Diceros bicornis minor: one gene and its partners. The protein of the gene in region 1 purifies or fractionates together with the protein of each later gene. This does not show direct contact. Links are inferred from orthologs where the notes say so. Each region holds a gene or a part of one and is shown in the gene's direction. Other genes may lie near its edges.

Evidence for each region.
Region 2: the proteins of RBPJ (region 1) and NOTCH2 purify together in Homo sapiens (affinity purification with mass spectrometry; 3 studies listed by BioGRID and IntAct, counting the BioPlex papers as one, with this or other methods). This does not show direct contact. The link is inferred for Diceros bicornis minor from reciprocal best matches to the Homo sapiens genes RBPJ and NOTCH2.
Region 3: the proteins of RBPJ (region 1) and FHL1 purify together in Homo sapiens (affinity purification with western blotting; 4 studies listed by BioGRID and IntAct, with this or other methods). This does not show direct contact. The link is inferred for Diceros bicornis minor from reciprocal best matches to the Homo sapiens genes RBPJ and FHL1.

The regions. Positions count from the first base shown.
Region 1 is NC_080747.1:21,259,305-21,269,039, forward strand, and holds the start of RBPJ (recombining binding protein suppressor of hairless), read left to right. Parts: upstream 1-4,669; 5' UTR 4,670-4,705; coding exon 4,706-4,764; intron 4,765-4,925; exon of another isoform or gene 4,926-4,977; coding exon of another isoform or gene 4,978-4,997; intron 4,998-9,735. UniProt on the Homo sapiens protein: Transcriptional regulator that plays a central role in Notch signaling, a signaling pathway involved in cell-cell communication that regulates a broad spectrum of cell-fate determinations.
Region 2 is NC_080743.1:51,965,985-51,975,719, reverse strand, and holds the start of NOTCH2 (neurogenic locus notch homolog protein 2), read left to right. Parts: upstream 1-4,874; 5' UTR 4,875-5,102; coding exon 5,103-5,175; intron 5,176-9,735. UniProt on the Homo sapiens protein: Functions as a receptor for membrane-bound ligands Jagged-1 (JAG1), Jagged-2 (JAG2) and Delta-1 (DLL1) to regulate cell-fate determination.
Region 3 is NC_080781.1:123,826,064-123,835,798, forward strand, and holds the start of FHL1 (four and a half LIM domains protein 1), read left to right. Parts: upstream 1-3,855; 5' UTR 3,856-3,941; intron 3,942-9,735.

The DNA.
Region 1 (9,735 bases):
TATTTTTTACCTTGTTTTTTAAACTTTGTGATCCTTCCACATAAGTACATAAAAAGCAGCCTGTTTATTAACAGACACATATTATGCAATTCTATGAATATATCATGATTTTTTTTTTTTTTGTGAGGAAGATCAGCCCGGAGCTAACATCATGCCAATCCTCCTCTTTTTGCTGAGGAAGACCGGCTCTGAGCTAACATCTATTGCCAATCCTCCTCCTTTTTCTCCCCAAAGCCCCAGTAGATAGTTGTATGTCATAGTTACACCATCCTTCTAGTTGCTGTATATGGGACGCCGCCACAGCATGGCTGGAGAAGCAGAGCGTCAGTGTGTGCCTGGGATCCAAACCCGGGCTGCCAGTAGCAGAGCACACAGAGTACTTAACGGCTAAGCTATGGGGCCGGCCCCTATCATGATTTTTTTTTAATAAGACATCTCTTGATCGACATTTAGCTTGTTACCAGTATTCTCCACCATCAATGATACTGCAATATAAAGGTAATTTCACATGTGTCTGACTATATTTGTAGAAGATTTCTAGAAATGAAATTATAGGATTAACAGGTAATGATAAGTTTTATCAAAATGGTTTTCATAAAGATTGCACCCATTGTCACTCCCACTAGCAACACATGAGAATACTTGTTTCCTTATATCCTGCCAATAGTGTTTTCTTTCCTTAGGTTCTAAAATGGAAAGTAAAGGAAACCTTTCAAGTAAATGTAGGCTCATCTACCGGTCTAACTCAGGAATAGATGTTTTGCAGAAAGTCAACACACATGGTCGTTCTATAGGCTCTTTTCTCCTCCCTAGGCAAGCTGGCACTGGGCTATTCAATATTGTTTTGAACCCTAGAAGACTTAGTGAGCCTTCAGAATCATTTCTACTCTGCTCTAAAGTGGAAGACATCCTATTCATCCTACAAATACTTATGGAATGCCTATCATGCACCAGGCATTGCTCTCATGGCTGTGGCTTGAACAATGAATAAAATAGACAAAAGTGCCTGCCCTCATTAAGATTACATTATAATGGGAGGAGCCAGAGAGTAGACACAATACACAGGTATGATATATGGTATGTTAGTTTATGATAAGCGTCGTGGGAAAAATAAAGGAGGGAATAGGGAGTATGAGGAGTCACTTTTGTGAAGGGTGGTCAGGGAAGGCCTCACTAAGAAGGTGACGTTTAAGCAAAGACCTGAAAGCAGTGAAGGAAAGAGCCATGAGGCATCTGAGGGACAGAGCAAAGGCAGGCATTGTGAGCGTGCCTGGTATGTCCTAGCAACAGCAAGGAAGGCTGTGGTTAGAGCTCAGTGAACAAGGGGAAGGGGGGAAGAGGTGAGGTCAGGGAGTTCAGGGGGTTTGGGTAGCAGGCTAGATTGTGTAGGTCCTCACAGTGAAATGGGAAAACCACAGAAGAGTTCTGGTGGGTTCTGTGAATGCTCTATTGAGAACAGACTGCGGGAAGGCAAGAACAGAAGAAGCGAGAACCAGTTAGGAAACTGGCTGTAAACCAGATGAAAAATGAGATGAGTTAGACTGGGCTCGTAGCCATAGAGGTGTGGCAGTGTTTGGACTATGGGTCTATTTTGAAGGTGGAGCCAGCATGATTTTTCTAGTTTGGATGTTGGAGGTGAGAGGGAAAGGAGGCAAGAATGACTCCAAGGTTCTCGGCTTAAATAAGTGAAAGGACGGAGGTGTCTTTTACTGGGATAGGAAAGACTGCAGGCAGAGCATGTTTTAGGGTGAAGATGAGTTGTGATCTGACTTGTGGTTACCATGGCTTTCCATGGCTCGGGCTCTCAGATGGCCATGGCTCCAAATTAGATTAATGGCCTAGACAAGACCATGACTGAAATGCCTTCCTGGGTTTGAAGACTCCAAGGAATGTGTGCCCATGGCCATTGTTCCCCTCCTGAGCTATCTTGTTCCAAATCAGACTTGCACTGAGATATTGTATCAAATGTTCTTACATCTTTTCTTTTTCTGTGTGAAATATTTAATCAAAGGGATAGACAGATGCACACACACAACCAACAACCTTGAAAACAACTAAAAAACTTGATTTCTTGTTCACTATATAACCAGTAGCACATGGGCCCCTATTAAAGGACTCAAATATTAAAATTCAATTCAATTCTACATTTGTGGGTCTGTGATGGCACCAGACACCGGTTTCTAGACAATGCCAGGCCAGGCTGGTCCAGAAACCACACTAGGGGAATCTGAAATGTGCCTGGTTGAAGAATGTAACCAGGAATTCACTAGACAAATAAATAATTCAAGAAGAAAGGATGCACTTAAAACAGCTAGCACTAAAGCTTCAGATGAAACGATACCTAAAATGGAATGAATACTTCAACAAACACATAGAAAGGTGAAAAGCAAAACCAGTATTTTAAGTCTTATCATTAGCAGGAAAGAAAAAAACAACCAAGAACAGACAGTGATATATAGGGATTACTTCAAAAGGCTAAGAATGGCCGGCCCAATGGCATAGTGGTTAAGTGCGTGCGCTCCTCTACTGGTGGCCCACGGCCCGGATCGGGGGCGCGCACCCACAACTGCTTCTCCGACCAGGCTGAGGCCAAGTCCCACATACAGCAACTAGAATGTGCCACTATAACATACAACTATCTACCGGGAGTTTGGGGGGGGGGGGAAGGAGGAGGATTGGCAATAGATGTTAGCTCATTGCCGGTCTTCCTCAGCAAAAAGAGGAGGATTAGCATGGATGTTAGTTCAGGGCTGATCTTCCTCACCAAAAAAAAAAAAAAAAAAAAGGCTAGGAAGAGATTAGAGGGAAGAAATAAAAAAAAATTGTGTCCTTGAATGGGAGGCAGAATCTCTACAAGGCAACAATGAGAGAGCGCAAAGAGCAGCATTTTTCTTCTCGAACTCGCGAGGCCAGCGGGTAAATCAGAAAGAAAACAATTGCTAAAAGAGAGTAGCTAAGGGAATCTGAACTTGTTTTAAAGCAAGTAAAGCGGTAGCCAGACTAGGTGACTCAGAGGAATGACTCAAACCCGACACCGGGGGCCGTCAGCTCCCGGAGGCCGGGGGCGCGGCGTCTAACACATTTTAGGAAAGTACCAGGCTCGTGGAGGGCGACAAGAAACCTCCCCGGGGGATCGGCCTGGGGCTCCTCCTGCCCTAGAGTGTGACCTCTTACCATCCGCGCCAGGAGGAGTTTCTAATCTCCTGGCTTCCCCTTCTTCCTTTAGAAGCTCCCCCACCCATTTTTCTTCCACCAAGCGTCACCGGGCGTGTGTGTGCGAGACATCGGGCCCCCTCCCAGCCACCCTCCGCCCCGCGCTCCCCGCCCCGCGCCCACCCGCCCCGCCTCCACGGCGAGCCGCTCTCTTCCCACCCCGCCCCCGTCCGCCGCCCGCCGCCCGCCGCCCGCCGCCCGCCGCCCGGGCACGCGCGGCACGAACAGCGCCCGGAGCTGCACTAGACAAACACCTGTCCCGCCTGGGCTCCGCGAGATTTCGGGCGAAAGCATAGGCAACAGTGTGCGCGTTCTCGCGAGGTTTAGGAAATTTCCCACGGCCCGTGTTGTGTCTGAACCGAGTAGTGGAAGGCGGTGGGAAGGAGAGGTAGCGTGAGACTGGGCTGCCCGCATTGAGCACATGCGCAGTGCCGCTCACGCGTGCCGCGCTGATCCTGCAGCGCCTTCAGCAGGTTTCCGGCAGCGGATTCCAGTTCTCCGGGTTTTGGGGCTCCCTGCGGGAGGCAGTGCAGAATCTGGGAATCTCTAGGAATTGAAAGGGCAAAGTGGGGGCGGGAGGAGAAAGGGGTGCCGCAGGTAGAAAGGAGGGGGCCAGGTTCGGGCCCTGCACCTTTCTATTAAATGCCCAAAGGGCCAAGTTTGCTCTGGGGCTTCCAAGATGAAGATTTTCCCAGGTCGCCTGAAGTACGTTTCGGCAGCGAGCATCATCATCAACTGTGCCAGGCCTACGGAAGGACCTGGGCAGAGTCTGTCCCCATATACACCTGGGTTCACACAGGGCTACGGGCTGCGATGAGGTCCTAGGGAGGCTCCCAAAGCTGGCAGCTCTCTGCCCAAATGGGATCTCTGGCTTGAGTGCGGGGTCGGGGAGTGGTGGCTCTCAATTCCAACGCGGTTTTCACTTCTGGAGAAAACTACGTGCGCGCTCTGGCGTGTATATGCGAGGTGGACATTAGAGGTGTCTGGCAGAGGCCTTGGCCTGACCTCATTTCACACCCAAGGAGAAGAAAGCTAAGGGCGACAGAGCTCAACTGCAAAAGTTTTTGGTTTACAGAGCTCTGGAGGGTCGGACCACGTTGTAATCTTGTCTGACTCTCCGCTAGCATGAGGGTCAAGTGAACTTAGATAGTTCCTGGTTTATCCCTCGCCCGAACTCCAGACATCTCTGTAGCTCCAGCACCCAACGCTGAGATTAGCATAAAGGGAGCGTCCAATGAACGTCTGAATGAATGAAAAGGGCTGGGAACCAGAGTGAGCGGGAAGCCACTTGGAAAACACCCATTTGAGGAGGTGTTTCATCTAGGCCTGTGAAACGCGGCAGATTTTCCCAGGACCCCTCCTCCCTTCCCCTCGGCCCCGCCTCCTGACCCCTCCATTCCCCGTCCCCGTTGTAATCCCCTCCGGTTTTCCTCAGTCTCCACGTACGTCCCTCAGGGCGCGTCCCAAAACCCGGATAACCGGAGCGCTCCCCATGGACCACACGGAGGGCTCGCCCGCGGAGGAGCCGCCTGCGCATGCTCCATCGCTTGGGTAGGTTTCCAGGGAAGGCAGCGAGCAGGATCCCCTACTCCGCGTGCGGCGCGAGGCGCCTGGCTTTTCGCGGCAGCTGCGAGGAGAAAAGGAGCGCGGGGGCTGGGTGGAATCGAGGAGTGAGGAAAAAGGAAAGGGGCGGGGGAGAGGGACCAGGGAAGGCGTCCGGGGGAATCTCGCGAGGGTTGGAGTTTTGGCGAGAGTTTGTGGAAGATGGCGCCTGTTGTGACAGGGTAAGTCTGGGGGAATCCGAGCGCTAGGAACCGTGAAAGTTGCGGGCGTCTCGCAGCCCGCGGCGGGCGGCGGGTTCGGGGGCCCCGGCGCGCTTGGCCTCCGGGGGCCGCGGGGGCGGCGGCGCGCGCGCCGAGCGCGGCGGCGTGTGGTTGTGCGCTGCTCGCCGTGCGCCGCCGTGGCTCGGGCTCCGGCGCGTGAGGGCGGGCGGCGGCGAGGCCGGCGGGTGCGGGCTTGAGTGCGGCCGGGCGCGCGGGGCCCGCGGGCGCCGTGCCCGCCGCGCGCCTCCCGCTCTCCGCCCGCGGGCCCTGCCTCCCGGCCCCGCGAAGCTTTGTTCTTGGCGGCCGTCGTCGCCTCCTCGGCGAGCCAGTGCCCCCGTCCCCGGGCGCTTTGTTTTTCCCCGCTGCCCCCCGCGACTCTCTACCCCCGGCCCTTTGTTTCGCCGCCTTGGGCTCTTTGTCCGAGCCGTCGCGCCCCGCATCCCTTCTCTATCTCCTCCCTTTAGCTGTCCTTCCTCCCGTGCCCCTTTGTTGTGCCCCTCTCTAGTCGGTAGCTCAGTGACCTGCCACAACCCAGGCACCAGATTTCTGTCTTCATTTTTCTTTTATTATTTTTCTCACGTGTTTTCCTTTCACCTCTCTGTTTGGTCCTTGAGCACCCCCAGAGGCTTTGTCTCCCCCATCCAGTGGCTTGTTCCCTTGGCACCCCTCTTCCCCTCCCATCATCGGTTGATTTATCCACTACCCACGGTGTATGTCGGCTGAACTGTCTCAGCCCCGGGGACTCCATCTGGTTCTTCTACGTGCAGACAGGCACTACGGTTTGTTGTTGTTTTTGTGGGTCTGAGAGATGCAGGGGGATACTTAGTTTCCTCCTCGGCGCTCCTCCTCTCCGCACCCTTTTCTCTCGGGATTACAGTGTCTCCAGTTTTCTTCGCGGTCGCTTTGGGCCCGTGATTGTTTTGCTTGGAAACAGTAGCCTTGAAAAAAGATCTGGTCTCTTGGTTATTGTGCCCCAATCCCCCCCCCCCTTTGGTTTCTGACGGCCTAGGCCAAGGGCAGCTGCCGCAGCTTTGCATCTGGGTTACCTGAGGGTATTGTAGGATGATTAGAAGAGGCGCGAGGTATTTTTTTCTGTTGGTGTGAGAATAGTTTCAGATATCCATATTGGATATTCATTTGATATGTGAGTAGCAGTTAAGTGAATTTTGATGTTAAAAACTTGTGAATGTTAGGGTGGAGAATTTCAACGTTTTCTAGACTCTAAGTCTAGAGTTTAGTTACTGTATTTTACCAGCAACTCCTGCTTCGGAAGGAAAAAGGGCGGCATCCTGCTTGGGAATTTGATATAAATGTTTTACTTTTTCTTAGTCATTAGTTTACAATTATATGCTTTTGCTCTGTAAATTTATGACAATCTTTCTGCCTCATCTTTGGAACTGAAATGAGGAAAGCGCTTAAGAGGGCAGTTTCTGGTTGATGAATACTGCTTCTAGAATCTTTGTGGAATGCTTTAAGCAGACGCAATTGAAGACATTTAAGTAATAGCCTTAAGTAAGGTAAAGGCACTTCTAATGTCAAAGGAACTTTAAATTGTTCAGAGTTCTTATTGTTATGGTAATTTAAAAGCTTGGGGTTGTGTGTGGGGGTGGGGGGAGAGTGGTGTGGTGTATTTAAGCGACCTGAATATTCTGGTGCAGGGAATAAGAGGTATTTGATTTACCAGGATTACTAGACTGAATATATTGTTCACGAATTCTCCCCTCCTCCACTAGTTGATCACTACTTTTAGAATATAGGTTACCCATAAAATCCTTTGGAGTGTCATTTCATTTATAAAGCTCCACGTAAAATGCTACTAGTAGAGGATATACAAGATTTAGTGTGAGGGACGTTGATGGAAAGCATTTTTTTTTTTTTTGAAGTCTGACTAGAATTAGTAGTTTGAATTTTAATTAATGGAAAAATCATGTTTCATGATTGATATATGAAGTTTTTGTGAAAATTTGCAGTTTGGGTTTGATGAGTGGATTTTGCCAATAATCATTTGTCTCCCTTGTTCTTAGTGCATAATCATTCTTTTGAAGGGAAAATCGTGTTGATTCTGACTGTAAGCAAAGTGTAAATACCGTGTAATAAGGGAAGATATTTTGCTCTGGCTTGTGTATATAAGAATGATCGCACAAACACCATAAATGCAACTTGTACAATTCTAGTTGTATTTTTTGTTTGTAAATTGTATATGACCTTTATTTCATGACCAAATAAAACAAAGCCTTTACTAAATTATATCAAACAGCAACATATTTAGATACATACTAGATGAGTGGTGGTTGGGAAACTTTCATTCTGATTATTGACTATTAAAGTTTTAAATTTATTGTCCATGTGTATTGCAGATGGGTCTATGGAGAGTATATTTTCAGGAAAAAATGTGACACTCACTTGCAGTATTTTCAGATCTATTCTAATATATGCTTCTAGATATTAGGTTTTAAGCAGCTAGTTTGTTAAAAAGTTATGTATTATCCTATAGCCGCAGATTTCTATTAATGTCTTTTAAGTGTGTAAGATAAAAAAAATGGTTTGGGGGGGAAGCCACACTTGCCAGCTGTAATTCATTAAATAATCTTTGGCACTCTGGATAAGGTATTAGGGGAAAAAATGTGTTTGCAAGTTCTTACAAATCTTAATTCTAGTATTTAATCATTTTTAAAAATAAATTTGAAAACCTGAAACTTGGCTTTAAAGCATTATTTTGCATTTTGCTTCCTTCTAATACTAAATTTCATGTTATTTCAACTAGGGGCAGTATTTTCTCATGGATTGACTAAAAGTTGTTATTTTTGGCATTTGGCTTTGTGATTATTTCCAAGTTACTCTACTTCCCCTGGGCCAATTTCCTAACTATGTAGTAAAATGGGAATTGTTAATAACTTGCCACATCTGCACAGGATTGGTGTGCCTTAGGATTTGCAGAGAGCATCCTTGAATGAAAGGTGTGGTTAAAGTCTAGGAATTGTTACTGAAATAAGCTGATGTGAAGTAGGTCATATTTTATAGGAAGTCAAGTAGGAGGTTATGAACTAAGTTCTTGGAAAGTCATAGTGGGATGAAAAAAACCCAAATATGTATTATAGTTTGAGTAATAAAACAGATACATTTCCCACCTATAAGAGGGAGAGGGATAAGTAAACAAATTACAGAGTGGTATTTGTGTGTGAATGTGTGCACGCTTGTGCATGTGTGTGTTGTGTAAGAGATTGAAGATATGTCAAAGTCAAATGAAATAACACGTTGTAAAATTATGGGATGCTTTTCCTCTATTGATTTGTTTTCTGCATGTAGTAGTTGTTTTAAAAAATAGTGGCACAAACTGTTTTCGCTAGATTTTAGGCCAAGTCTGTTAATAGTAATGACTAGTTATAAATATGCCTTATATTATTTAACACTTTGCCAGTTACTCTCAGAAATATTTTCTAAAAACCAGGACTATAAATTCAGACTTGACCCTTGGCCTAGGGAAGTCTTTTGCATTTGGGGGACACTCGATAGATATTTATTGAACAAACGAAACCTGTTGCTTCTCTATTCCTGGCAGATGATATCATGTCCCAACTAGCTTCTCACTGCAGGTTTCTGAATTCCTTTCTCAAACTAACCCTTTACCTTTAAACAGTAAGAACTGGTAATTTTCCCTCCTGGAATATCTCTTGAATCTGTCTGTCTCATCCTCACTGCCACAGTTCCTGCTATCATCATTTCTCACCTGGATTACTGCAGGCATTGACAGCTCCTCCTTCCTCTTTCTGGTTCTAGACTCACCCCCTTTGTCCAGCTTCCACAGTCTTTCTAAAGAGTAAATCTGATCATTTCACTCCTTAATTTAAAAACCTTTCAATGGCTCCCCCTAGCAGCCTTCATTAAGAGAGGCAATGGAGTGGAGAGTTTATGAGCTCGCAATTAGGATTTAATCTGAATTGGATTCCAGTTCTGTTTCTGCTACTTAAAACCTGTAACATTGACAAGTGATCCAACCTCTCCTTCCCTCTTCCATCAATTGCAAGATTATTCTTAGCTCAATGGGTTGTTGTGAGGATTAAATGCAAGAAAACATTTAGTAGGATATCAGGCACATAGCAAGTGCTCAAAAAATGTGGGGCTGGCCTGGTGGTGTAGCGGTTAAGTTCTCGTGCTCTGCTGTGGCTCCCCGGGGTTCGCAGGTTTGGATCCCAGGCGTGGACCTATGCACCGCTCATCAAGCCATACTGTGGCAGCGTCCCACATACAAAAGAGAGGAAGATGGGCACAAGTGTTAGCTCAGGGCTAATCTTCCTCATCAAAAAAAAAAAAAAAAAAGAGCTGGCGTGGCATATAGCTTCGTAACTACTTCATTTACTTTTTCTCCAGCTGAACTGTTTGCCTTTCTTTCCTTTCGTTTTCAGTGCTCCAGCCATATTTAAGAACTTGGAATTCCCTGTGTGGGCTCAGCAGTTTAATGCCTCCCTGTGCATGAAAAGTGCTGGTGTTAGTGCGTTATTATTCCAGACTTGGGTCTGAGGATATTCTAACTGGATCCACCAAGCTGAGTTCAGTGCCCCTCCTGTGTGTTCTTAAAGGACCCAGTATAATTTTCTTGGACGTGTCATACTGAATTGTAATTGTCGGTCACACCCAAAGGCATTTAGTTACTTGGTGGCAGATATTGTTTTCTTCTTAATCATTTATATATTCTTATACT
Region 2 (9,735 bases), on another chromosome or scaffold:
ATTAGGCAAGACACTTAAACTCTATCTCAGTCTCTCCATCTGTGAAATGGGAATAATAATGACTGGCTTGGCTATTTCCCACGATTGCTTTGAGGATCAAATGAGATAGTATACTTAAAAGTGTTTTGGAAAGCCTGAAGCACTGCACAAATGCAAAGCATTATTTTGAAAGAAATCTTCTCTTTAATCCCTGCTTCCACAAACACTTCATCACACATCCCTGGGTTCCTGAGTTATGTGGTGAGATATGTGGAGTAGCTTGATATGTCAACCTATGCTTGATAGGGACTCCAGAATCTTTTCTTCAGCACTGATAGTATTTAAATGATTCAGCCTTGGAAACACCTCAACTTTCTGTCAATCTTGCATCTCTCTCCAATTCATGTAGATATGTATGCCCTTCATTCAACATTAATTTAAACATATATTATTGAGCACTTATGTGCACTAAGTACTGTGCTAGGAACTGGGGCAATATAGACAAATGACATAGGATTTCCACTCTTGTGGGGTTTTTTCAGCTTATTGGATCTGAGAGAACAGACATGAGAACAAATAAGTGCCTTATTCTCATTTGTTTCAGGAGGCAATTTTTTGTGAGTTTTAATTAGTAAAGACAGATATATATATATATATTTTTACTTTTGTCTAAAACGAAAACTAGTATTGGCCCTTATACCACTAATGTCTGTAAATTTTAATTTGGTCTTGGAGACCGAGATTTGTTTTCCAGATGAAAGTTTGTGGGATCCCATTTTTCTTTGTATCAGTGAAGCTATGGAAATTTAAGGAATAGCAATAGCTATGATTAGTTATAGGATCACTTGAATGTTTTCCTGCCAATTTCTCCTATAAAGTAGGATTTGCTTTGGCTAAAAGCACTGACCTTGGGGAAGACCATTCTCCGATCCAGTTGAGTAATTAATCTGCTGAGTTCATTTGGGGCTGACATCTCCGGGCAGAAACTGGCATTTCATATCCTCAGCTGCCACTCAAGATTTGAGACACCGCCACAAGACCCCTTGGCTTCTGACGGGGATCAGGGAAATAGTCACCTAAATGCACACCGTGGAATTTATTTTTTTATTTTTTTTAAAGATTTTATTTATTTATTTATTTATTTATTTATTTTCCCCCCAAAGCCCCAGTAGATAGTTGTATGTCATGGTTGCACATCCTTCTAGTTGCTGTATGTGGGACGCAGCCTCAGCATGGCCGGAGAAGTGATGCGCTGGTGCGTGCCCGGGATCCGAACCCGGGCCACCAGCAGCGGAGCGCGCACACTTAACCGCTAAGCCACAGGGCCGGCCCTACACAGTGGAATTTAGGCTTAGCTTTGGGGAGAGGCCAATAATAGAAACCATATTTCAGTGCCATTCAGTCAGTCTACTCCTAGATCTCCCTGAAGCAGTCAACAGCTGCTGCTGCTCTTCCTGAACACCATTTTCCCCTTCTAGCTACACTGATCTCTTGCCTGCTTGTCTACTCTACCAAACCTCCCTTTCCTTCTCCTATATTTCCTATATCCAAGAATAGCTCATCATGCCTCAAGATACTGAGGTCATTGCTGATTCCTTGATCTATCATTCTTCTCTCATCTAAGCAGTTACTAGTCTTAGGAGCCAATGCCCATCTTTTCTGCATTCCACAGCCCCTGCCTCAGTTCTTATCTTCTCACTTTAGGGAACAGGCTCTGGTTTCTATTGTTTACCTGCCTCTATACTTGTTCTCTGTGCCTTGAACAGTCTTAGACCTCTAAAACATGAGAAATCTCCTCTTCCTCTTTACCTGACTAATCTTGTGATCTTCCTAGTCTTAGTTCGGCTATTGAGGTCTACCTGGAAGCCTTCCCTGACTACGCCTGCGCTGGGACAGGACTCACAGTCCCTCAGCTGTGAACTCACAACACTCTACTTGTCATACTGATCTTAATTGTTGGTTACTTGTCTCTCTTTCTTTATCCCTCAACTCCTCATACAGAATCTGGCCCATGGTAAATATGTACCAAAATGCCAATTGATGGGTTGGACTTGTTCTCCTCTCTCAGTCTTTGTCGATTCCAGTTCTTCCCTTGATTTTCAACTCCTTTTTGTATTTACCGATTTATATCCATAGCTTCCTTCAAAACATGTCTTTTAAAACATCTCTTTGGTCATAACCTTCTCCTACTTTCACTCATAACATTTATTCTTTATTCCTCTTGTCCTTATGGGAATGTATGCAATAAGTTTAACATTATAACAAAACCAACAAAAAGTTATACATGAACATAATAATTGCTTTCCTTAAAATAGTCACCTTGAGAAACTGCACATCTATTTTAATAATGTTGTCATAGCCACAGTCATTTCTTGAGCTGCTCTTTGAGGATGATTACCTTTACATTCTTCTGAACATATTTTAACAGTGTCAAATCTAATCTTTGCAAATGATTTTTAAAATTTGTGTATAGCTAAGTCACTATAAGCTATATTTAGTGAGTAAAGACAATGATCAAGCTGGTAACTCTATGGGTCAACAACTAAAAAAGTAATGTTATTATCTTTCTCTGAACATATTTGCACAAGGGAAATTCCAAAACTACTTTGACTAATTACGTTATTTTTGAAGAGTTTCTAGCATCCCAAGGTGTCTACTTTCAATAATGGTACTTGCTTAGCTGTTATAAAGTCCTTATTAAAATCCAGTGTTACAGCTTCACAGGCCTATGATCATACTGACTTGCACTTGTTTACTATTGTTTTACATTCTAGTGCAGCATCTATTATGTGATACACACTGGGAATGAATAAGGCCATGGTCCTTAGCCATAATGACCTCCTAATCTAGTTGAGAAGATAGAAATATAAACAGTCCTGTGTGAAAAATAGATATCAGTGTAAGATAAAGAAGCAGTACAGTGGAGAAACTGTCTGTGAGGGGTACGAATTTGCAAAGCCTTCTCAGGACTGAAGGATGAATGATGATTAGAAGCTCCCCAAGAGGAGGAGGGAGGGGGACTACAAGAGTTGTTCTAAGCCAAGGGAACAGAAGGTACAGAGACTGAAACAAGAAGACGTGTTTGGGATAATCTCAAGTCATTCAATACTGTTATTGTGTAAAGTTCACAGTGAGGGCAGAGAGGACAAGACATGGGGCCCAATGAAGTAAAGGCCTTGTATTTACCACTTTTTAGAAGTTTAGACTTTATCCTATAGGAGCCAGGGAGATGCTCTGTGGGTAGGATTTCCCTCCCCAACAGGACTGTAAACTCCCACATCTAATAAGGTTTGCCCCTCCCCCCATCCCTCCTCCCCACCCAGATTGTCTCAGATCCATCTCTTCCTTTCCACTCTGACATTACTTCAGGCCTTCATGACCCATGCCTGGACAATTTCACAAACTCATGGCTGGCCCTTGGACTCTAGCTCATCTTTTGCTCCTGACAATCAATTTTTCACAGGATTATCAGACCAACCTTCCTTTCCATCAAGTCACACTCCTGTTCAAAAACCTTCGATGGTTTTCTGTGACCTGAGAGATAACTGCCCCTCCCCCTTTTCAGTTTGTCCTTCAAAGTCCTGCATAATATGGTCCCAACACCCTTTCCGTCCTTGATTCCTGTCACTGCTCATAGTGCCAGAACTCATCTACTTATTCCCTAATCTGCACCTTTATTTTTACAGTGGCTCTCCCCTGGAATGCTACACCCACACAAACTTTTGTTGTTGTTTTTTATTTCAGCTCTTTTCTTACAAATGGCAAGCCCACCTGTACCCATGTCTGATCACATCTGCCACTGTCCTGCCTTGGAGGTAACCACTATTCTGGCTATATTCCATGACTATAAACTGTATGGTATGCATCCATAAATCATATATAGTATTGTTTTGAAAAAATTTAAGTATACATAAATGATATACTTTATATCTCCTCTGTAATTGGTTTTTCATTATCATTTTATTTTTAAGCTTCATGCCTATTGATATATATGAATATAATCTTTTCAGTTGCTATATTGCATTTCATTTTATAAATACACTGTATATTATTCATCAATTTCTCTATGGGTGGGCATTTAGGTTGTTTCCAATTTTTGGCTATTACAAAAAATGTTACAATGAATATCCTTAGCTGGTCTCCTTGTCCTATACAAATTTTGCTAACCTTTCAAGGTCCTGCTCTCATCCCAGCTCCTCCGTGAAAGCCTTCCCTGATTCCCCAGGCCCGCAGCAACCAAGCGTTGGTTCTCAAAAGTAGCTTGAGCATCATGCGTCTTTAGTATCATTCCATTGGGCCAAGCACAATGTTTCCCAAAGTGAGGCGCTTAAGAAATAGTCGCTAAACGAATGAATGAATGAATGAATCACCATTCATTCAATGAATCACCACAACCCAGTTGATGGCTCTGTTCATTTTAAATGGCTTTGGCGCCTTAGCCCCCATTTCCTTCTTTGACAGCACTGGTCCTTCTCTACTGCATTCCCCTAGCTAGCCCGAGAGTGTGTGGATGTGTGGGTGTGCGGGGGCGAGACCTATCTCACTGGATGAGGTCTGTCCCTCCTTGCAAGTTCACGATCTCGGCAATCCTAGTGTTTGAAGTTCAGAGTCCTAACACCCACCCCCTCCACCAGAGGCCGGCCCAGCGAGGCGCTCCAGCGCCAACTGAGTTAAGGCGCGTCCGGACCCACCGCGGGTTGGAGAAGGCTGGAAGGGGTATCTGAGGACCGTAGTAGATCCCTCCGCGCGTAGCTCGGGCCGGCGCTTCTTCCTGCGGGAAACCCCTGGGTGCCGAAGGCGTCGGGGCCCGGCCGCGGCGACAGGGGGGCGGGGTTTGCGGTGGGAGGAGGCGGCGGAGGCGGAAGGACACACGAGGCTGCTTCGCTGCACACCGAGAAAGTTTCAGCCAAACTTCGGGCGGCGGCTGAGGCGGCGGCCCGGGAGCGGCGGACTTGGGGTACAGGGAGTGGAGGCATTGAAGCCTGATCTTCCGGGCGCAGCGCGAGGCCGTGAGCCGCAGAAGCAAGAGGAGGGGAGGAGAAAGTGGGGGCTTCTCGGTCGGGACCCCCTCCCCATGTGGATCTGCCCAGGCGGCGGCGGCGGCGGAGGAGGCGACCGAGAAGATGCCCGCCCTGCGCCCCGCTCTGCTGTGGGCACTGCTGGCGCTCTGGCTGTGCCGCGCGGCCCCCGCGCGTGGTGAGTACCGGGCGGAGGGGTGCTGTCCCCTGCGCCCAGGCCCGCGCACCCCGCCCGCGCGCCCCGCTGCCCCCGCCCCGGCCCGGCCGGCCACCTGGGGCGACCGTTCCCCCCCCTTCCGTCCTCTTCTCTGCGATCAGGTCGGGCTCAGCGGTCGGCGCGGAGTGAGGCCACTTGGTTCCCTAGAGTTGCACATCGTTGGGGCCCCCTGCCCGGGCGCGCCCCCTCCCCGCGCTCCCCGCTGCCTCCGGCTCCCCTCGCTGGTGGCCCCACACATGCCTCCTCGGCCGGAGGGAGGCCGGGCAGCAAGTCTCAGAAACCCTCTTTCTCGAGCACTTGAGTTCGGGGAGTTGGGCAGTTTTGGCCCTTTGGTTCCGCGTTTCCTGGGGTTGAGGGAGAGCCGGGGGCGGGCTGCCCGAGACGAACCCTCGCCGGCCGCGCACCGCAGATGGGCTGAGCGAAGGAATGCCAGATTCCGGCGTGGAGCGAGCGGGGGCAGGGCCTCCAAGCCCAACGGCTTGCACCTTCACAGCCAGACTTCTCTTCGCCAAAGGGAGGCACACAGTCCGGGGGGGTGGCTTTGGTTTGGATGGGGACAGGGTTTTGCGGTGCCTCTGAATTCTGACACTCCGAATCCGTGGTCCCGATGAATCCGGTCTGTTTGGCTTGAGTCTTGGAAAGGTGGAGGCAGGAGCAGAAGGAAAACTGATGTGGCTGCATGCTGAGCCACATGATTTAAAAATCTCAACTGCTGTTATTCTTTCCGAGGCGCGGAGCTCGGGCGCTGTTTCGGATTCTGCGTCCAGCCCCAGGAATGTGGTGTGACGATCACCAACTCCTCCAACCTGGCAGCAGCATTTGCTGCTCTTTTGGCATGGTTGGGGGTGGGGCACGGGCGGGTGAGGAAAAGTGGATACGTTAATTCAAAGTGCTTCCTTAGAAAGCCTTTTTATGGTTGGATATTTGCAACAGTCTTTCTGAACACGGTTGGACCAAGGAAAGGAAATCGAATCATATTTTACCCATCCCACTCACACTCTTGGATTCCAAATTTCTTCAGGCTGTTTAGTGGGAAGAGCTTGGGCTTTGGAGCCCTGCTCTTTAATCCTGGGTTCCAGTCCAGCTATGCTGTATGAACTCACCAATAAAATGGGAATGAAATTACCCAGCTAATAGGATTAATTAAGAGAATGTATATTAAACCCATGGCAGTCAAAAGGTAGAAGGTCCTTTCAGGGCAGGGCTGTGTTTTATTTTTTCTGAACTCTGCTTCCAGTGGTGGCTTGTGCATGTTTGTTGAACTGAAAGGGGCCCCTTCTTTTCCTGGCCTAATCTGAAGGAAAATTTTTACCTTTATCAAAAAACTAGTACATGAGCTATGTCCCTTTGCAAAGAAAAGGTTAAGAAGATGATGAACTTTAGAAAGATTTGCTCTTTGTTCATTGTTAAGAGGCAGTCGACATGCCAATCACAGATGTTTAAAAGAGAACAAGGTTATTTATCACAGGGCTGGGTTGTTCAGCATCAACCAGATTCTTCTTGGAAGGTTCAAATTCCACACACCTCTAGGTCCCTAAGAATTTCAGAAGTGGACCAGGAGGCTGTGTGATGATGAATCAAAACTGTTGTTTCTAAAGCGTTTTGTTAAAAAACACATCCAATAGTGTTTTTTGCCTTTCCTTTTTCTTTGAGTGGAAGCTTTAGTATAAGTGTAGATTTAGGATAGAGAGAAATATAAACAACCAGCTAGTCTGAGGGTTGCAATGCTTGGTCTACAATCCTTCATTAACTTGTTTTAGTAAATAACTTAATCTTCATGGTCTGTAGTCTCCTCACCTATGAAATAGAGCTAAAGAAGTAACCTGCTTTAGAGAGTTGGAGGGAATAATATGATTGCAAAGTGATTTGCAAAATTAAGCGTTAAATGATAAGACTGATGGCAGAAATAGGATACTGTGACACACCGGGCTTCTCTCATTCTAGGACCTCAGTACGGAGAATGATATCCTCTTTTATACTTCTGCACTGATTAGGTATTGCTATTACTAGCTACCGTTCAGGTGGACAAGTTGAGTGTTAGTCAATTAGCTCAAAGGACAAGATTTAGATATTTTGATTTTTAGACAGGCATTCTTCAAATACTAAACTACTGCACTATAAGAGATTAAAAAATGTTTCTCGGTACAAATCTTAAATTTTTTCCGAGTCTAGCAGTGATGGCTTCTTGAATTTTCTCAATTTATTATCATTGTATTTTGCCAAGGTACAAATTATAACACACCCTTCCAGACTTTTGAGTGTTCCCGTATTTGGCTTGTGGCCAATTGTTAATTTAAACATCACTGAGTTCCTAAGGCAAGGAGCTGTCAACCCATCTGTCTGATTGTCTAAACAGCTATCCAAGACCACCCTTTGCTCCTTGTTTTCTTTTGCTTTGCAATGAGAAGTGACTCCCTGGTTTTGCTGCCTGCTAGATAATTTCTCAGCTGAATTCTTCACTTGCTTTTAAACAAATCACAAAGAGCAATTGTTTTTTCTTTCACATGGAGATTAAATGTACCCTAAAACTATTTTCCTTTTCTCTTTCTTTCTTCTTGTTATTCCTATATTATTATTCCTTTTTCGGGAGGGAGGAGGAAGGTGAGTGATTGTTTCTGGTCTCTCTTTTCTTTTTCCTGATGTTTGATTTAAAAATATTTACCCACATCTCCTTGACATCTCTCTGCACCAGTCCCACTCTACTGCCTCTTCTGTAGACTTCTTATGACATAGGGGAGTAACTTTTGGCTCACCTGAATTGTAGTTGCTGACTTCAGGACCTTTAGAAAATGTTTAAGTTCAGTGGGATATGCTTGGATGCTTCTGAGCAGCCTTATAATACATTTTAAAAATATCACACCCACAGAAATTCTATTTTGCCCACAAAATTTGCATTGATCTAGTTCCCACTCTCTGATGCAATTCCTAGTGGTCCTCCTCCTTACCCTGTCCCCTGTGACAGAGCAAAGCTCCATGTCCTGGCTGCTTCAGAATCAGCTGGGGTGACTCTTGGACTCAACACCCAGGGATTCTGATACAGTAGGTCTGAGAGTCTGCATTTTTCAAGATTTACAGGTTCTGATAGTACCTTGGTTGGAACCCACTGATAGTTCATTATTCTGCCTTCAGGTGTGTATATGGGGTCTTTCTTAATTTTAATAATTTCTGGAATGAACCTAACCTTATTCAGCCATTCCAATGTTTAACCCGCTGACTGGCAAAGATTTTTTAAATTGCTAACATAAAAGCTGTAGAGTGTAATGCCATTTCTTCTTGTTTATCTGGGCACAGTGGGTTCCAATTGTCTCTTTAGAAGGGCTTCATATATTTGAATGATACGATTATAAATTCTCCTTCCCTCTTTTCTCCTCTCTTATCTCTTTTTCCTCAAGCTTCATTTAAATATGTCATTTTGGACCGTTTGTCTGTTAGTCCTTAATGGTTTTGGAGTAAAAAATTCTAAGCCATGATTTGAATGAGAATAAAGTAAGAGATTTTACGTTATCCTTACATTGTGTTTACACTCGTTATTTAAGTGCTTCCTTTCTGGATATCTCTCTCTGATGCAACTTGAACTTTTCATTTTCTTCCCACTGTTTCCTGATTCCCCTCCTTTCTTCTTCCCTTTCTCTGTGTGTGTGAGTGTGTGTGTGAATGCCTTCAGACCAAAAGGTTTTCCTTTCTTCTACTTTTCTCTCTTTATTGGTCTACCATATGTATACTGATTTGGAAAGATCACTGTTTAGGGGCCTGAAGACCAGAATTCTCCTCCAGGTCTGTTATTAATTAGTCTTGTGATCTTGTGGGAGGGCAGTTTTGGTCCTCCATTTGCTCAGGTACCTTTTCCGTAGTCTCTGAGCCAATTACAGAGTTGAGACTAGAGTCTCTCTCTTCGGGTCCTCAGTCCAGTGCCTTGTCCAGTCTCCATACCACTTCTATCTCTTGCACAAATAAGCTCATGTACACACAAACACTCACAATATCCTCAGGTGCTTATTGTTAGTGTGCTTCTTGAGGAAAACAACTGTGTCTTTTAATTTATGTGTTTATTCTAATGCCCCCACTCCTATCCTTGTACCAAGCATGGTGCTTTGGCATCTAATAGGCAACTCAAAAAAAATTTGTTCATTTGAACAATTACTTTAGTCATTTTCTTATTCTGGACTACTATGGTACTCCAAGACAGTTTTTAAAAAAAAAAAATAGTATTTGCAAGAATCATTGCTTACCTTAAATTTGGGGAAAAACCAACTTTTTCCCTTCCCCAGCTGTTTTGTTTAAACTTGCCATTTTGAATTTCTTTGTGTGTGGTTTCTTCTTCTCTCTCTCTTTTTTTTTCTCATCACTTCTGCAATTCATAAAGGTCACTTTAACTTTGGAATTTAACCTCAAAGGCACTGGCACCCACCCCCTGCCTCTCACTTGAGTTGCTACTACTGCTTCCTGTATTACTATATTACTAGACCAGTGATTTCTATTATTTTGTTCAGAGTTGCCACACCTTATTGTAATTTGGTCATT
Region 3 (9,735 bases), on another chromosome or scaffold:
GCTCCAAAGTTACTTAACCTCTTTGAGCCTCAGTTTTCTCATCTGTACAGTGGGGATAATAGTATCTAACATGAAGAGTAAATAAAACGAAGCATGTAAACTGTCTGGTATGTAACACACTTTCAATAACTTAGAACATTAGTCATAATGGTACTTTCTGGAGAGAAGGCAAAGGTCTTGATTACTTTATATGCTGATAAACGCTTCCTATTTCCTTCCGAGGGGACTTTAAATTCTGTTAAAATCTAAGACCCTCTCCTCATGCCTATTTCCTTACTCAAACAGAAATGAAAAAGATCAGATCTGAGCTCATACCATTTGATTGTAGTCTATTTAGTGTCTTTTTGCTTCTAGATGCTGAAAACATTACCAGAATGTAGCATACAAGTTCACAATTTGGACAGCCTCTTTCCTTTTATCCATTTTGCTTATTCTGCAACACAGTCCCCCCCACAGTTTAAGTGGAACAATATGTTTCCATGACCCACAGAAGTTGAGTTCAAATCCAAGGAGATGAACTGTTAAGAGGTGGATAGGACTGGCCTTGGGTGTAAACTACGGGGGGCCGGGGGGTGGGGTGGGCAATGTGGGAGATCTGCGCCTTGCACCTAGCAGGAGCACATTGTGAATATCTGCAGAAGGGAAGAAGAGAGGAAAGAAGTGGGGGAGGTGAGAAAGAAGGTAGGGGCTGAAAGGACAGGGAAGGAAAGATAGAGAAGGAAGGTGGGAGGAAGAAAGGGATCTTGTGAGGAATGAACCACAACTAACACTGACTGAGTGCCAAAGGATGGCAAGAAAGTTCCCTGGGAGAGGGCCCTTCATCCGGAGCCCTCCATCTTGGGTGCTTCTTGGCTATTTGGGGACTGGGCCCTGGGCTGGTATTCTATTTGGGGAGTTGCCTGCAGCAGAGCTGATTGTTCAGAGCCTTCTCAAGATCAGGGTGGGACAGATTGCCTTCTTTTCCTAGCAAGTGTGAAGCTCTTGCCATCCCAGAAGACCAAACAAACTTCAGTGCTTCTGAGGGCTTGGAATGGGATAGGGGAAGGCCTAGGCCCCTGGTGCCCGAGAGAAAGAAGGGAACCTTGAAAGGGTTTATGCTCTCTCCTAAGGGAGGCCAGTGCCCAGTTCGTGCACCACAGGGGAAAACAGGAGTCATCAGATTGGATTTGCTTGATCTATAGAGATGGCTAACCACCCCGCCCCACGCACACACCCGTACCCCGCCCCCTGATCAGCATATACCTCCTGGTCTTTACAGTGGAGAAAGCCTTTCCAGGTGGAGGGCCGATCCTCCACGTGGAATCCCGCTCTCACTTCATCTCACCTAGGCAGGGGCTTGACTTCTTTAGTAAGCCCTTCTCTCTTATCAGCAACCCCTCCCTACTGATTATTCCTAACCATGCTCTCATCTCTCAAATTAAAAAGAGAAAGGAATCGCCTCTTGTCTCTTGTCCTCGTTCCACTCCACTCCTATTCCCCTTTACAGGGAAATGTCTCAAAGCGATTGTCTACACTATGCTGTCTCTACTTCAACTCTAATTCCCTCTTCAAACCTGTTCCATCAAATCTTTCCCCTTCCCTCCACAGGCACCATCCAAGTGTACACCACCATCAGCTTTGATGGGGACTATTGGGAAAGCCTCCTAACTAGTCTCCCTGTTTCCATTCTCAGTTTCCTCTGGACCTTTCTCCACATGGTAGTGGAGGTGGTCTCTTAAAAATATAAATCAGGGGGCTGGCCCGGTGGCGCAACCAGTTAAGTGCGCGCGCTCCGCTTTGGCGGCCTGGAGGTCGCAGGTTGGGATCCCGGGCGCACCACGCACCGCTTGTCAAGCCATGCTGTGGCGGTGTCCCATATAAAGTAGAAGAAGATGGCCACAGAGGTTAACTAAGAGCCAGTCTTCCTCGGCAAAAAAGAGGAGGATCAGCATCGGATGTTAGCACAGGGCTGGTCTCCCTCACAAACAAAAAAAATATATATGTATATATATAAATCAGACCTGGAATACTACTTGGCAATAAAAATGAACAAACTATGGATACATGCAACAACTTCGATGAATCTCAAGGGAATTAAGCTGAGTGAAAAAAGCCAATCCCCAAAGGTTATATATTGTATGATTCATTTACACAACATTCTTGAAATGACAAAACTATAGAAATGGAGGACAGATTAATGGTGGCCAGTGGTGAGGGACTAGGGAGACTGAAGAGGTGGCTGTGGTTTCAAAAGAGCAACAGGATGGATCCTTGTAATGACGGAACTATTTTGTATCTTGACTGTGGTGGTGGATACACGAGCCTACACGGGTGATAAAATTGTATAGAATTAAACATACACACACACACATATGAGTACAAGTAAAACCAAGGAAATCTGAATAAGATTGGTAGATTTCACCACTGTCAATATTCTGGTTGTGATCTTGTACTAGTTTTGCTTTGGGGGAAACTGGGTAAGGGGTTCATAGGCTCTCTCTGTATTATTCCTTACAAATGCATGTGGATCTACAATTATCCCCCCAAAAAAAGAAATACAAAAGAAATATAAATCAGATCAAGTCATGCCCTGGGGTAAAGCCACTCATTCAATGGCCTCCCATTGATTTTGGAATAAAACGGTCTGCCCATTGACTGGGAGGCAGTCCATGATCCGGTCCCTGCCAACCTGTCCAGGCTTACATTATGCTACTCTCCCCAGCTCTCCTGGTGCCAATCACAATCACCACCTCTTAGTTCCAAGGCATCAAGACTTGCCCCCTCCTTCTGGCTTTCGTACATCTATCTATCTGCTCCCTCCTTCCGGAAGGCTTTTTTCTGGCTCTTCTTTATGGTTGCTTCTTTCATAACTTTCAGGGCTCAGCTTAAATGCCACCTCCTCTTTTCCTAACCACACAATTTGCACCCTTTTCTTTTCCTGCACAGGTCTTATCCCGAATGTGATTCTTTTCTCACTTCTTTATCGTCTGTCTCCCCCACTAGATTGCAAGCTCCTAGGGCAGGGCGGATAGTGTTCTGCAGGACTCTGCGCTGTATCCCCAGCGCCTGGCACAGTGCTTGGCACATAGCGAGGGCTCAGTAAACTGAATGTTGAGTGAATGAATGAGTAGCCACGTGCGGCTTTGCCATCGGTGCTTTTCTGAGTGATGTGACGTAAAGCCCTCTGGATAGCGGCGTTGGGCTTATGGATGGGACTCCTTTCGCTCCCTCCAGTTTGTTACTAAGGGGAAGGGTCGCCAGTGGGTCCTTCGGCGCCGCTTCAAACCACGGGGCTCCGCAGTCGGGGGCCAAAACCGGGTGCGCTTCGGGCCCGGGCCGCTTTGCAGGGAGTGCGCAGGTTGGCTGAGGCCCCCGGACAGGCCACCTTCGCTCGACTCTCTTTGTTGCTCCCACCTCGCCTGCCCTGGCCGCGGCTGCCTACAGTGACTCGTGACGCCCCGCCGGCCTCGAAGGCTGCGACGCGAGGGAGGGGGGCAGCGGGCGCCCACAGCCCGCCCTCCTCTCGGCCTCCAGGCGGGAGCCGGCCCTCCGGGGAAGCGCTCGCCACCGCCCGCTCGCAGCCAGCTTCCCCGCGCGCCCGCGCCTTGCAGGCAGCCGGGCCGCTCCCGTAGCGGGGGCACGTGGCCGCGCGGGGTGCGTGGCGCTCCCGCCCCGCGCCAGGCCGGCTCCCGCGCGCGCGGCCCGCAGCGCAGCCCCCGCGGGCAGAGCCCCGGCTGGCGCGCGCCCCGCCCCGCCCCGGGCCAGCCGCGCCCGCCCCCGCGCGCTCCCTCCCCCTGCCCGCCTCCCCCGCGCGCGCCCCTCCCCTCGCGCCCCTCCCGCGCCCTACATCCAGCGCCCGGCCGAGGGGGCTCAGTCCGCAGTCGCCGCCGCCGCCGCGCCTCGGCTTCGGTGCAGGCAGCGGCCGTCGCCGAGACAGCTGTGCGGGCGAGCATCCCCAGGCAGTAAGCCCGCTTTCTCTCCGCGTGTGCGTGCGTGTGTGCTCCCGCCCGCCGGGCCCGCGTCCCGGGGGAGCGGCTGCCCTCCTGTCCCGCCGCCGCCGCTCCCGGCTGGCCCCCGCCGCCCCAGCTGCCCGGCCTGCGGGGCTGGGTACCTGCGGCCTCGGGCCTCGGCCGCCTGGCCGGGGGTGGGGGCTTGGGGGCGCGCCCGGCTGCGGGCTGCGGGACGGCCGACCGTGGGGTCCCCTATGGTGCGTGCCTCGGCCTCCCCTGGGCTCTCGCCACTGGGGTGGCGGGCGATGGGGATGGGGAGCGACCGGGGAGGGAGAGGGAGAGGGGAGGGGTGGGGGGTCGGGAGTGAAAATGGGGCTCTCCATGTTTTCCTCTGCGGAATGGTGGGGAGTGGGGTGGGAGTGAAGGGGGGGCCCTTGGTTTTCTCACCAAGGATGGCGGGCAGTGGGGGTGGGGCGAGGCGGGGGCACCCCTTGGTTTTCTCAACAAGGAGAGCTAGCGGGGGTTGTGGGGAGTGAGTGAAGATGAAATGGGGGGCTCCCCTTGGTTTCTCATCAAGGATGGCGGGGACTGAGGAGGGAGTGAGGGAGGGACCTTCCTTGGTTCGCTCAACGAGGATGGCGGGGCTTGGGGATGAGAGGGAGCGGAGGTGAAGGGGCTCGTCCTGGTTTACTCGACGGGGATGCTGGGGGAGGGCGGTGGTTGGAGGAGTGGGGGTGGGGTGCAGAGAGAATGAGGAGGGAGGGGGAGGGCCTGCTGTGGTTCGTCTCTCGCAGAGGATGGTGAGGGGTTGGCGAATGGGGGTGGGGAGAGTGGGGGATTTCAGCTCCAGCGTGGAACCTAGAGAAGCAAGAGGAAGGTTCTATCACGTGGGTTGAGCCTTAGAAGGTGGATTTTCAAAACTGCAGGGTGTGACCTTTCCGTCTCAAAAATCACGAAATCCCTACAAGGTGCCGTCTGTTCTAGGCTTGGGAGAGAGGTTTCTGCTTTCGAAGTTTCTCTTTCTCTTCCGTTCCTCGCGGCCTCTTCCCAGTCGTCCAGGACTGGGTAGAGGTTTGAAAATCGGCAAGGGAGGACTGTGTGTGGCTCGTGTTCAGTGCTGTAATATTTTCTGCATTTGGGACTGTGCGAGTTTCTCAGGTTTGTTTTGATTGCCCTTTACAAAAAAACCCTGTACCGGGGAGACCCCTTGGGAAAAGAAGAGAACAATGTTTATTAAGGGGACTCCAGGTTTGGTTTTTGAATTTCCTGAAGGGCAAGAGATACGTCGTAGTAGCATTTTGCTTGGCTTCCAGAAGAGGTAGAAATAGAATAAATGTGTGTCTTTGCTGGAAGTCCCCTATATTCGTTTAAATTATTCCATCGGGATTATCTGAGCCCCCTTTGATTTGAATTTGGAATAGATCCAGTTTTCCTAATTGGAGCCATCATTTTGTAATTGCCTGTAATTCTTCCCTGGGTTATCAAATCTATGGCAAGTTTATAGAGCAGCAGGAATAATATTTTTGTTATCTTGATTAAGACAGTTTTAATGTAAATTTTATGTTGTTCCTTGGAAACGTGAACATTTGCAGAAAAGCCTAAATTTAAATTATGGGCCGCTTGGAATTTTCCAAAGGGTTTCCCTCCCCAGCTCACCTTCTCCAGGAACAGAACTCTCCAGGTTCTTTACACTGAAGAAGCAAGGGCTTCTGGGATGGTAGCTCTGCCTTTGGAAACTCATGCTCATATTTGCTTAAGAAGAACACATGTTAAAAAGGCATAGGTCTTTAATGTGGTGAGGCTATAAGTGCCTTCCCATTTTGGTTACATAAGGTTCTAATCTAGTCTTTATCTTCAGTCTTTAAAAATGCTTATTTAACATTTTTAAGAGCAAATAGAATCTTTATGCAACAGGAAATTGGTCAGATGGGCCATGATTTGTGCAAACCACGTCACAATAAGTATATAGTCTAAGCCTACCATATAGATTCTGTAACCATATATGGTTTTTGAAATTCTAAGCTACCATTTCCATATTGAGTTTTTGGAGAAGGAACGTGTTTTTTTCAACCAAGTCTAGATTTTTGAGTGAAACTTAAGCAAATTTGTGTAAGATTTAAATTGGTAAAATTCCTCTTGTATGATACCAGCTAATTGGAACTAATTTAATATGTATCAAACTCAATGGACCGTTTGAATAATTATTTGTTTACTGGAAATGCTAAACTGGAAATAGAGCTTTTTGGTCTCAAAGATTGACAAAAATGCATTTAAATAAACACTGTTGTATGCATCATTTCTAATGTTAATGTGATACTTGTTCTGTACACAGGCAGCAATCTAGAAATAGTACATACAGGGGCCCGTGGCATAGTGGTTAAGTGCATGCGCTCAGCTGCTGGCGGCCCGGGTTTGGATCCCGGGCGTGCAGCGATGCACTGCTTGTCAGGCCATGCTGTGGCGACATCCCGTATAAAGTGGAGGAAGATGGGCACAGATGTTAGCCCAGGGCCAGTCTTCCTCAGCAAAAAAAAAAAAGGAAGGTTGGCATGGATGTTAGCTCAGGGCTGATCTTCCTCACAAAAAATAAATAAATAAATAAAAATTAAAATAGTACATATAAAAATACAATTTGTCTGTTTTTCTCTTATGAGTAGAATGCTGAGAGTGGTAAAATCTTTTACAGAAAGAAGTGTGTTGATGGGTGGGGGCCCTTAAGCTTCTCCAGATGAAAGGAGTAAATGGAGTATCTTTCACCCAGGCTTTTGAGAACCTGTTGTTTGCTCTGTGGGACTGGAGGAAAAAAGATGAAGAAATTTCAGAAATTAACAAAAGTATGATCAAATATCTTTTGAAATATTCTTAAAGATTTTGCTGCTATCCATTAGAAAAGTCATTTGTAAGTCAAGCCTTTGTGTAGGAAATTGACCCTCGCCCTGAAAGTTTTGACGTTTTAAAATAATGCCAGTTTGTTGAAGGAATGGAAGCTAACCTTCTGAGCCTGCCTCCTGTGCTGGTGCTCCACCTCCGGGTTCCCTTCCCCACACCTCTCCCTTTTCCCCTTCTGGTGCCAGCATCTTTGGCTTTTATAACCTTGTGGGAGTTGAACAAATGTTCGTGCTCGCTTGAACTTGAGGCCTTATCTATTTGGCTGCTTTCCTCAACTTTTGCCTACAAAATTTTTTTGGTTAATTGAACTTTCCAGTTGTTTGCATTTGGGGTAAAAGAGAGTGGACTGTAATTATTTTCTCTTAAAAGATCTTTTCTTTTAGCTGCTGTTGGATGAGAGCAAAGAAAGGTTCTTTTTTTTTTTTGTCACCAGAGTACTTAATTAAGCAGAGTGTATGACCATTCATTTATTCAACAAACATTTACTGAGTGACCGCCTCTGTTGGAGGCTCCGTGTTAGGTGCAGGATATACAGTGGGTGAGAAATGGCTCCTGCCTTCTGGTGCAGTTATTAAAATGAAAAATAGACAGTGGATTTGTTGTGAATAATCAAGAGTTGTCCAGAGTCTTGTGGCCATTAACGTATCACTTTATATACATCACACATGCTTCACCCCCGCAAACAGTGGAGTCATTTCTTTCCAGGGAATTATTCACTGCGTAAATTCTCTCTCACCTTCCCAACTAAGACAAACTTCTTCATTTGGGGTAATAACATGGTTTATAAGTCATTTTAAAGTCTATGGCCAGGCCGGCCCCGTGGCTTAGCAGTTAAGTGTGCGCGCTCCGCTACTGGAGGCCCGGGTTCGGATCCCAGGCGCACACCAACGCACCGCTTCTCCCGCCATGCTGAGGCCACATCCCACATACAGCAACTAGAAGGATGTGCAGCTATGACATACAACTATCTACTGGGGTTTTGGGGAAAAAAAAGAGGAGGACTGGCAATAGATGTTAGCTCAGAGCTGGTCTTCCTCAGCAAAAAGAGGAGGATTAGCATGGATGTTAGCTTAGGGCTGATCTTCCTCACAAAAAAAAAAAAAGTCTATGGCCTTTTTTAAAAAGATAAGTTTTATGTAGAGTAAATAGGACAGCAGATTTCTTGATATTTGAGTTCAGCATTTTGTATTATGGCATAGAGTCATGAGAGGAAGACGACCAGGCCAGCATTCCTTCCTATGACTTAAAGCATCTTCTGACAGCAAATTGGGCCAAAAAAATTACTTTTCTATGTTCAACTTTGAATTATGGATAATAATGGGCGGTGGAGCCCAGAAGAGGAGATAATACTAAAGAGTAGCTGGAATAAACCTTTGCCCCCGTGAGGGCTACCTCCTGAGATCTTTGAGAATTCCCCTGTTTGTGGAGAGTGCTAGACCACTGGTTTTTAACTGGGGCAACTTTGCCCCCCAGAGGACATTGAACAATGTCCGGAGACATTTTTGGCTGTCACAACTTGGGGCAAGGCACACTACTGGTGTCTACTGGGTAGGGGCCAGGAATGCTGCTTAATGAAACATTCCACAATGCACGGGGTAGCCCCCCCACAACAAAGAATGATCTGACCCGAAGTGTCAGTGGTGCTGAGGCTGATGTAATTTCCTCTACAAAATGCAGTAAAATGTAACTTCAGGAGAGTAGAGAACAATAACAGTGTCTTGATGTGACTAAGTTGGCTGGACTCCCTTCACTTGCCTTAAAAGTGACCAGTTCCCATATATGGACCTGAATAATTAAATGACCAATAACAACTGCCATTTATGGTATTTACTCTGTGCCAGGCATTTGTATACATTGTAAATTCTCTTCCTTGTGTAAATGAAGAACCAGGCTCAGAGAGGTAAAGTAACTTGCCCTAGTTCTCACAACTGGTCAGGGTTGAAAGTAGACATCAAAATTAAGATCGTCTTACTCCTCAGAAGTCTGTGGTTTTGAGCACAACGTCATACTGTCCCTTGTGGCATGCTGCATTCAAAATCTTGCTTAACAAAATTAAAATTGCTACATGTCCTATATACCATTGAGCTTGCTTGAGAGTAATTAAAACGATGAACGTTAAATTTGATCATACTTGGAGTAAGCGGCCAGGAGTAGGGGGAAAAAGGGAACCGACATTACTTGAAGGCCTACTATAGTTCTAGAAAATACACTAGTTGAATTGACATCCATTATGTAATTAGATTCTCACAACAACTCTGCAAAGTAAGTATGGTGTGCTTTTCACAGATGAGGTTAGTTAAGTAGCTTGTGTGAGATTGCACAATTAATAAGCAACAGAGCTGAGGTTTGAACTTAGTCCCACGACTAAGCCACTGTCCCTTGCTGCTTGCTCTAAAGCTTGGGGATTGCGGAAGGGGAGTGAGCTGAGGAGCATGCTGCAGAGAGGTGAGTAATTGGTCCTGGATAAAAAGTAATTTCAGAGGTGATGTGTAGTAGACGATGGATTTTATCAGGGAGAGAATGAATGGAGAGGTGAGTTATTCTACCTTCCTCAACTGGTGAGAATTGAGTTCAACCTGGAATTTGTTCTAGAGATCTCCCCAAATTGAGACTGTGATTGATTGTCACTTTGGAGAACTTCATTTTTTATCTTAGTTGAATTTTTCAAACACTGTTTTGATAACTGTGAAACTGGAAGTTACCTGTGTGTATATCCTTTCAGCAGCTTCCCTTCTCCCTTTTGTTAGGACTGTCCTATAGAACTTAGTAATGACAGCGTTTGATTTTGTCGTCTTTTTACACAATTTAAACATTTGTGTTTGGCATGGCAGTTGTTTTTATAATAAACGTCATCAAATTCATACTTGTGTTTTCCATGTGGGGGGTGTGTTTTGTTTTGACAGCTAAAGATTTATTT